Linked DNA regions of Tribolium castaneum. The protein of the gene in region 2 purifies or fractionates together with the protein of the main gene of each other region. This does not show direct contact. Links are inferred from orthologs where the notes say so. Each region holds a gene or a part of one and is shown on either strand. Other genes may lie near its edges.

The links.
Region 1: the proteins of Abl (region 2) and fra purify together in Drosophila melanogaster (affinity purification with western blotting; 3 studies listed by BioGRID). This does not show direct contact. The link is inferred for Tribolium castaneum from reciprocal best matches to the Drosophila melanogaster genes Abl and fra.

What each region holds. Positions count from the first base shown.
Region 1 is NC_087396.1:13,013,004-13,017,415, reverse strand, and holds part of fra (neogenin), read right to left. Parts: intron 3,584-4,412; coding exon 3,436-3,583; intron 3,389-3,435; coding exon 3,227-3,388; intron 3,177-3,226; coding exon 2,982-3,176; intron 2,916-2,981; coding exon 2,877-2,915; intron 2,823-2,876; coding exon 2,451-2,822; intron 1,824-2,450; coding exon 1,737-1,823; intron 1,683-1,736; coding exon of another isoform or gene 1,669-1,682; exon of another isoform or gene 1,654-1,668; intron 1,633-1,653; coding exon 1,446-1,632; intron 1,396-1,445; coding exon 1,220-1,395; intron 831-1,219; coding exon 601-830; 3' UTR 1-600.
Region 2 is NC_087394.1:5,616,084-5,621,409, forward strand, and holds part of Abl (tyrosine-protein kinase Abl), read left to right. Parts: intron 1-2,318; coding exon 2,319-3,260; intron 3,261-5,326. UniProt on the Drosophila melanogaster protein: Arm and Abl proteins function cooperatively at adherens junctions in both the CNS and epidermis; critical for embryonic epithelial morphogenesis regulating cell shape changes and cell migration.

The DNA of each region.
Region 1 (4,412 bases), on a different chromosome or scaffold from region 2:
ACGGGCTCAGATTAAAGCATTGTAGCAGATAATGTAAGTTACATTTAGTACTAATGTATAAAATTTAAATATATTTCACATTTTTATGTACAATAATACAAAATGTAAAAATCGATTTATTTAATAAATACAGAACTTTTTACAGGTGTATGTACAAGCTGAGTATCACCATTTTATTTAAATATCAGTTGATTGTACTCTTCTAGAACGGTTAGAAAAATATTTAAATAAAATCGTTCATTTGGGGGCCAATTCGGGTCACCACCAAATCGAGGCAAGAATACTGAATCGTGGACCGTCTCCTGTCGTATCACATTAACAACTAAAAATTGAACGACGGTGCAACCTCTCCAACCGGCCGGGTTACAGAGGTTCCACTGTAGTTTAGAGTCGTCGAAAATCCGCTATAAAATGGCCGTACAAAACTCACTTAATCTATTTATGGCATATAAAAGTAGGCCTGCCAATTTGTACCGATTGGCGATCTAAAAATTACGTTGAGATCTGCAAAACTAACTAAAGTCCCCTTTCACGCCACTAATATCAACCAAAAATCACGAAATAAATAAACTAAAGCTGCCTAAAATCGTCTCTCTCACTTCAACATTCGAACTGATTCGCTGTGATTGTGCTAAGTGTGAGCATGAGTCCTTCCAAATTCGCCATTTCCTGATTGAGTTCCTCGGTGGAGTGCGACGGCTGCAGTCTTTGTACTTCTTCAGCGGTGTGAGGGGGCGGATTCGTCGGGTTTATGCGAGAGGGGGGCGTGCCCGCCAAAGTACTCGAACTGCTCGTCGGGGGCTTCTTGTAGGGCGAGGAGTTGGGCCGCACTGCAAACAGTTTAGTAACCACAACTCTCCCTAGGTAACTAACTACTACAAAAACTAATAATCACAAATTGTCAATTAAAAATTAAAACAAAACAAAAATGTGCACACAAGCGGCTACATGAAAATCATTTTAACACACCTTGTATTTTAAAATATTCCTTTCTATAACTCCAAATAAAACTAAATTTAGTTTTATGAGATATGTAAGAATTAATAACTAATATTACTGAGTCGAATAGACATAATGACATAATAGTTGTTATATTAACTATTAGTTATTTTTTTAGTATAGAAAAAAAATTCAAAGTTCAAAATAAATCATTAATTTGGGCATTTTTGTCGAAAATGAATCGGTAAAAGGCTAAACTTCGAACTTTGCAGCAACTCACCAATGTGTTTCGGCTGGGGCGTCCCAGGGGCCGAGATGGGGGGCGGCGCCGGCACTGTGAAACTCTTCAAGGGGTGGCTTTGTGCCGGAACGCGCTTGCACCCCTGGGACTCGGCGAGGACGCCCAGGCCGGGGGCGTACGTGGCAGGGACGTGGGCCCCCATCGGAGGCACTTGGCTGCATTTTAACTGGTTAATAACCTAATTGATTGTTCAGTGGTTTGGTACCTAATGTTGGGCTCGGTCCAGCTGGAGGGATGCAAGGCGTAGGGATTTTCGGGGTTTGCTAACGGATCTACGGTCACATGGGCCCGAGCCATGTTGTACTGGGTGCGGGGGTACGAAGGCCGACTTGAAGGCGTCGAGTCTGTGCTCGATTGGCTTAGAGACGTGGTATTAATTGGGGTTGCTATTGCTGCAAAATATTTTCTTTTTCTCACATTTTCGCAAATCAATAGAGATTTTCTATTAATTGTATTATTTGTACTAACACAAACAGCACATGCAAGCCATACTTACGCTCTCTCGGCGGCGTGGAGACCACTGGTAACGTTATAATTGGCTTAGATCTGATTGGTCGTTTGATTTTATCGTCAGGGGAAACACCTAGGTGTAGCAAAGCGAAAAAGTGCATAAATAAAAGAAAAACTAGGTTGTGTTTATTAAAAGCGCTCTAAAGTACGTAATTTTGCTGGAGTGGTATTTTTATTCATTAATTGATTTTTTGGGGTGGCGAAAGCCGCTTAAAAGGGGAAAAAAAAAGCGCAATTAAGCGGAAATGGATTATCTGGTTACGCTGGGGCGAAAATTATGTAAAGTGTTGTTTGTCTGAGCCACAATTTCGTGAGAAATTCATTAATGAAGAGAATTCGGAACTGAAAAGTGCTCCAAAATTACTGTTTCGATTGGTAACAGATCTGAAAGAATTTTAGTTAACAATTTGCAACACTGCAATCTGATACGCTTTTAAAAATAAAATTCAGAATTGCCAACTAAAAAAGTAATTCTGGATCACGGTAAAAACATCTGGGAATTCAGAAACTTAGGAAAATTCGCACGTCAACATTTGTTACAAACAAAATCTGATCTTAATAAAAAAAGTAGCGAGTTTTCCAAACATTCGTTTTTTGCGCGTACTTTCCGATTTAGTGCGCTTTTAACTATCCTATTCTATGTCAGTTGAACCAAAAATCCGCTGAGAGCATGCGTACCAATCGTCAAAACTAAACTCACCCATATAGTTAGGAACATAGGTGCGTTGATCTAACGAATTAGTGTGTATACCACTTTCGTGGGGGTCATAATCGTTACCTCCCACACTTCGCGGTAAAGTCATAGCGCCACTACTGCTAGCACCATCATGGTTCGACTGACTTTTTTCCATTGCTTTCAACTCCATCTGGTCATGATGTATCCACAAATCTGGGGGTTTCACACTTTGGTTACCTTTCTGGTAACCCTTTTTACTCCTATCTGGGGACGCGGCAGCGTCGCGTCTCCGACAACACAAAACGGTTGTTACGACGCCTATCGTCGTAACGGCAATGATACAACCTCCGATGAGGAAGTATATGATAACAGTCCCGGAAAAAATTCCTTTCCCGTCTGAAACAACAATAAAATTACACACACACAACAAAAAACAAGGGGTGCCTTTACCTAAATGTTGCCGCGAACTGCTTACCAAAGTACCAACATCTAACAAAAATAAAAACAAAAACAAAACCAAAAATAAAAAACAAATAGGTGAAAGTTTGTACTCACTTGACCCGGTTGTGAAAATGACAACATTGGAAAAAGGTCCATAACCCTTGCTATTCCGCGCCTGAACTTTGAAATAATATTCGGTGTTGGGCTTAAGGTCGCCCAGCACGGCTGAATGCTTGTCACCCTTGGTCGCTTGCGCGAGCCATTCGCGATCGCTTTTTGTTTTATTATCCGTGTATAAGATCACGTAACCTGGGGAAAACGGGCGATAAAAAACCCAATTAAGATAAACTCGGTCCAACCTGTTATTCGACCGCTGGTTATCTTAGGGGGTTGCCATGTCAATTCCACCAATTGCGGTTCGTCCTCCTTTAAATGCACATCCAGGTCCCGTGGGGACGCGTTCGGGGCCAATTCCCATGTCGCGTTCTGCACAACCATGCTCCAGGGACTCTCCTTGCGGCCTGATTTTAAGTTAATTTCAAAATGTCATTTTTTAAAGCAAACAAACCTTTGACGAGTTTCACCGCAAACTCATAAAGTGTGTTTGGTTTGAGGTCGTCGATCATCACGTTGAGGTCTGACACGTTCACGGTGCGAGTTCGCATCGTTCTTTCGGCGGTGTATTTCACCACGTAGTAGCGGTTGTCCCGCACGAACTAAAAAACACTCCCGGTAATTCCAACAAAAAATATGGTTACTTTTGATCCCCGAGTTTTCATTTTGAAAAATATTGGAAACAGAGGCGGATTAACTGGGAGCTCGTGGCACTAAAAATTTGAGCCCATAAACGTAATTTATGTAGATAACAAAACTGAACAAAAAATTGAGAAAAATTTAAATCTGTGTGCAAAAATCTTCGTTTAAAATTTCGTCGAACTGTAGATCAGTCTTCTATCGTATTTCTTAACACATTTTATGCATAGATGCACTCTAATCAAACTATTATTGTCAACTTTACCTGAACATAAACGTCTCTCTGTTTATCACCTAGATAGCATTAGTGAAAGGTCAATTAAACATCAAAGATGCTTCTTGTACTCACGATAAGTTTTCTCGTAAATAAATTTCGAATTTTCAGACACTACTCGTAAGTAATGCGACTTGATGGACAGTTTCAGCCGCCGGAACTTTGAGATTTGACTTAAAAACTTAATCTGTGCATAAAATAGTATATGTATGGCGGTAGTAACGCAGTTTTATGGTCCTACAGCTTCAGGCCATAGAAGCTTCTTTACGCCCTTAATACATAAATAACTAAAGACTAAACAAAATCTTTCAAATAATGCAGTTGACATCGGGATTGATATAAAAGTTTTCTTATTGTTTGTAATGTTGAAGAAGTCTGTTAATTTTTCTTATTTAGATATACGTACAGTTTATTCCAAGTTCTACCTCGCTCCAAAAAATAAATAGGTTTTTTTTACGTAAGAACGAATCTTTATAATGGAGCGATAGAAATTTAAATGCGCTCCTATTTCATGCTTT
Region 2 (5,326 bases):
CAGATTTTGTTTTAAATTAGCAAAACGTTATAGATTTTTAAGGTTGATTACGTCGGACTTTAACGAAGGTCGAGCCGCATTTCTGATCTATTTTGATGGGCCGATTACGTTGGTGTCAGAATTTTTTGGTAATCGACATTTGGAAAGCCCATTTTTTGCAAACATTACAAATATATATACATTTTTATCAAATTTTTCGGCGATTAATTTAATTATTTAATTTTTTATTCGTCAACGTAATCGACGTTTAAAAAGTAGATGTTGTTTTGTGAAAATATCGCTTTAAAGTTAGTGGTTAGCAACCAATATTTTCATAGATTACGTGGATAGTAAAATATAGTTTGTAATGTTGATTTATTTAAAAACTTTGTGTTAAAATATCTGAAAAAAGTTTAGCAAAGGTAAGTAAAACAACACGTAAACAAAAATAAGAGAGTGAGAGAACACATAGACGTATAAACGTAAAGCGGAGCATAATAAATAAATTGATAGAAATAATAAAATAATGCGGCAAAAGGTAAAAGTACGTAAAGGCGCCAAATTGTAAAAGTAAGAGCACATCCTAATAAAGAAAAAATTTGTTTTGTGAGAAAAAACTCTAGGTGTGACTTTTTAAATTAATGTCATAGAAATTAATGTTGAAGTGCTGTGTGGTCACTAATAAACCAAGTATTTTACTATCCACGTTATCTATGAATTATGTTAAAGTTGATCACATCTTATCTTAATAATAGGTATCAGCAGGTCACAATAACAAAAAACAGTACTTTATATACATCAAATAAACTTCTAATTAAACAAGGTGTACCTCAAGGTAGTATACTAGGACCTTTATTTTTCGTAATTTATATAAACGACTTATTAAACATTTTAACAGTCTCAGACAACAATAGTGCAGTTAACTTTGCTGATGACACAAACATATTAATTTGTGGTGAAAATATGACAGATACAATGAAAGAAGCAAAGATATGCATGAATAAGGTAATAAACTGGACCAAAGAAAATAAATTAGTGTTAAATTTTGAAAAAACCTACAGCATTCATTTTGCAATATGTAATCACAAGAATTCAGAGAAACTGAATAAAATTGTAATATCATCTAAAGAAATTGAATTAATAGAGAAAACTAATTTTCTGGGAATATGCATTGACCATAAGTTAAGCTGGACTAAGCATATAGATAATTTATTAAAAAAATTAAACTCAGTACATTTTACAATACGTGTTTTAAAAAAATACTTTAACATTGAACAACAAATTTTCAATCATTACTAAGCTACGGTATAATATTTTGGGGGCAAAGTGGAAAGATATCAAAAGTATTTGTTGCTCAAAAACAAGTCATGAGAACTATGTTTAACTTAAAATATAATGAAACTTGTAGGAACATCTTTAAAAGCAATAACTTTTTGACAGTAACTGGTTTATACATATATAGATTACTTTTATTTTTCTTTAAACAGAATCTACTATTTAATGTCACTAACGACCACAAGTACAAAACTCGCAAAGTAGACTTAGAGTATCCAAAACACAAACTCACGCTGACGGAAAAAAATTCTCATTATGCAGGAATAAAACTATACAATAGTTTACCTGTGCATCTACGCACACCTTGTAATTTAAATTTATTTAAAAAGAAAATATTTGACTACATTTTTGGTCTCGAACCATATACTTTAAATGAATTCTATAATAGACAGGTTTTTTGACTTGTCTTAAAATTATTTTTATGTTATTGTTATTTCTGTGTACAATACTGACGTTTTTCGTATCAATTTTGTTATTACATTTGTATAAATTGATAGAAATAAATTATTGGTTTTCTACTGATTACGATGGCGTCGGAACGTTTTGTTCGTAGACGCAATCGGCAATCGATGTTTTTTGAAAAGTACTATTATATATATTTGGAAATATTGCTAGTTTTGTTCGTAAATTTAATAGGCGTTTTTTATAGTTTATAGATTTTTTACGGCGATTGCAGCGGTTAAACTTTTGCATATTGATGGAGCGATTACGTCGGTGTCAGACTTTTTTGTCCATAAACGTATTTGGCGTTTGAAAATTGTTGCTTTTTTAAAATATCGTTTTGAAATTGGCGTCATTTTATACATTCCTACGGCGATTACAATGGTGCCTGATTTTTTGCGCTAGCTTCGACAGTTCCGCCGTAATCGGCGTTTTTCTGCGTCCTTCTAAAAATATCATCGAAATCCTATGTCGGTTTTGATTTATTCGTCAAAATTTTTAAATTTTCTCGACTTTAGCATGTAGTTAGTAAGAAATGAATGCAAAAAATTGCTTTTTTTCAGGCGAACAAGTGCGCATCTTGAGTTACAACAAAAGCGGCGAATGGTGCGAGGCCCACTCGACATCGAACCAAATCGGTTGGGTACCGTCAAACTACGTCACTCCGGTAAACTCCCTCGAGAAGCATTCCTGGTACCACGGGCCGATCTCGCGAAACGCCGCCGAATATCTGCTCAGTTCGGGAATAAACGGAAGTTTTTTGGTGCGCGAATCGGAGAGCAGTCCCGGCCAAAGGAGCATATCCTTGCGGTACGAGGGCCGCGTCTACCACTACCGCATCAACGAGGACGCAGAGGGTAAAGTTTTCGTCACAGCTGAGAGCAAATTCAATACATTGGCGGAACTGGTGCATCACCATTCGATGCTAGCCGACGGACTAATAACACAGCTGTTGTATCCCGCGCCCAAACACAACAAACCGACGGTGTTTCCACTGAGTCCAGAGCCGGACGAATGGGAAATTAATCGGACTGATATCGTGATGAGGCATAAACTGGGAGGCGGGCAGTATGGGGATGTGTATGAGGCGGTCTGGAAGAGGTACAACATGACAGTGGCGGTGAAAACGCTCAAAGAGGACACCATGGCTTTGAAGGATTTTCTGGAAGAAGCGGCGATTATGAAAGAGATGAAACACCCGAATCTGGTCCAGTTGATGGGTGTTTGTACGCGGGAACCCCCGTTCTATATCATTACGGAATTTATGAGTAAAGGAAACCTTCTGGATTATCTCCGGAATGGAAACAAGGAGCAAATTAACGCCGTGGTTCTTATGTACATCGCTACACAAATCGCAAGCGGGATGAGTTATCTTGAAAGTAGGAATTTTATTCATCGGGACTTGGCGGCTCGGAATTGTCTTGTCGGGGAGAACCATTTGGTCAAAGTGGCTGATTTTGGATTGGCGCGGTTGATGCGCGACGACACTTACACAGCTCACGCAGGTAAGGTTTTTTTTGAAAGCTTTAGCTTGGTTTGTTGCCTGTCTGCGTCAAATTTAAGAGAGTTTCATCCTAACTGAAATTTTGCATGCATACGTAATTTCCCTAATAAGTTCCCTAAAGTAGTTTAAATAATGTTCTATAGTATTAATAATTATATATAGGAAATAATTCCAAGTGTTGGCACATCTACATATTGTGATATTTTTGATGAATTTTAATTTTTTTAAATTAAAAAAACTGCTAAAATGTGATAGTAAATTTAAAAATAATTATTCTTCGTTTTGATACGGAACGATTACCTGGTATGAAACATAAAAACATAAAAAATAATGAAAACTAAAAAAGTTAACACAATAAGTTTGTAGCTCCAGATTTTTTAAAATATGACTTTAGGAATTCTTTCAACATTCTTCTCGTAATATGCATTTGCTTTTCAATAACGTACCACTGAGTTGGTGCGCCAGTTTTTGAGCACCCTGTATTCACTAAAAGTTTTGAAATTTTTTTTCTGGTGTCTAGTTTGGCATTCTGTACTAAACTAATTATTAAACATTTTATTTGCTTTAAAATATCATTAAGTGAATGTATATTAAGCCCAAACAACTTTTGTTTGTTTGTGGTACAATTCTCCTAATAAAACCTGGGAAACTTAAGAAATCAAATGTTTTCATCAAGATATAGTCTTATGACAATTGAGATAAAAATATGTTAGCCGATTACTGTTGGTTACAATAAAGAAACTGCCACTAATTAGTGCAAAAACAACCAATTAATTTTTCAAAAGTTTTGAATCGAGCTTTTTTGTGGTGTCTTTACATTCATTATTGACATGATTAACAAATTGTTAAATATTTTGTTTGTTTTAAAATATCATCAGGTTAATGAAAATTAAGCCCATATCACTTTTTCTATGTTTGTGTTTAAATTATCCTAACAAACCCTGGGAAGCTTAAGCGATGAACATGGTGAATGTTTCCATCAAGATTTAAAGTCTTGTAAGGAAAACTATTAAGGTTTTTTGAATAAAAATGTGTTATCCGTTTACTACTAGTCTACATTAAGATAAACTGACCCTAATAGTACAAAAGAAGTAGCAGTCTGTAATATTTTTATTGTTGCAAAAATTGCTAAATACTGAATGAATATTTAAAAAACTTGGCGTCCTAATTTTTTTGACTTCAGTATCAAACTTAGGGCTAGTTATTCAACCAATACAAATTGGTTTCATCTATTGGTTAAAAACGTTGTAAACTGTAGTTATAAATATTTATCAATATCTAAAAATTTTAAAAATTATATAAAAAATTCTACCATGCGATTTTCTAAAATTTTGATCTTGTTATCCATGACAGTTGTCCATTACAGAAATAAGATTCCAACATATTTTTTGGCCTCCAGTACTGTAAAACGTGAATGACAGTTGCCCATTCATGAAAGGTAACTTGACCTTTAAACACGATGCTGTAAACTGGTAGCAAACAATTAGGTAAAGTAACCACAAAACACTGGACGATTAGACATGTTTAAGATACAAACCGTGCTTACCATAATTAAGTTCGTATAACGAAATACTTGTTACCTATAATTATTTAATTCAATCGACCATGGTGTATATTTAATTAGTGAAAATATAAATCCCCCCGGAACAGCGCCACCTATACATACGTTTGGGAACCACAAATGTCATTGATTCTATGCATAATATTTTATAAAGAATAATATTAAAAGCTTGTCGGCCAAAAAGTTTTATACAAATCTCATGCGTTAAGTCATTTTACAGCGCTTCAACTAATAAGGCACTCGCCTTTCAGGCTCGTGCCTCAAACAAAGTTGTCGCGCTGTAAAATGTGACTTACCGCATTCGAGTGTAAATAGCTATTTTTATGTTCTGCGGTGAACATTTTAGACATATTGACAGATAAAGCGAATCTTAAGTTATTTACGCAATTCGTTTCACTGCTGGCGAAACTGTCATGGATAACTAGATTTTAAAACTAGTTTTAAAAAATCGCAGTGGTTGGGGGTTATTAAGAGTTAAACCAATCCACTTCCACAGGAACAAAGAT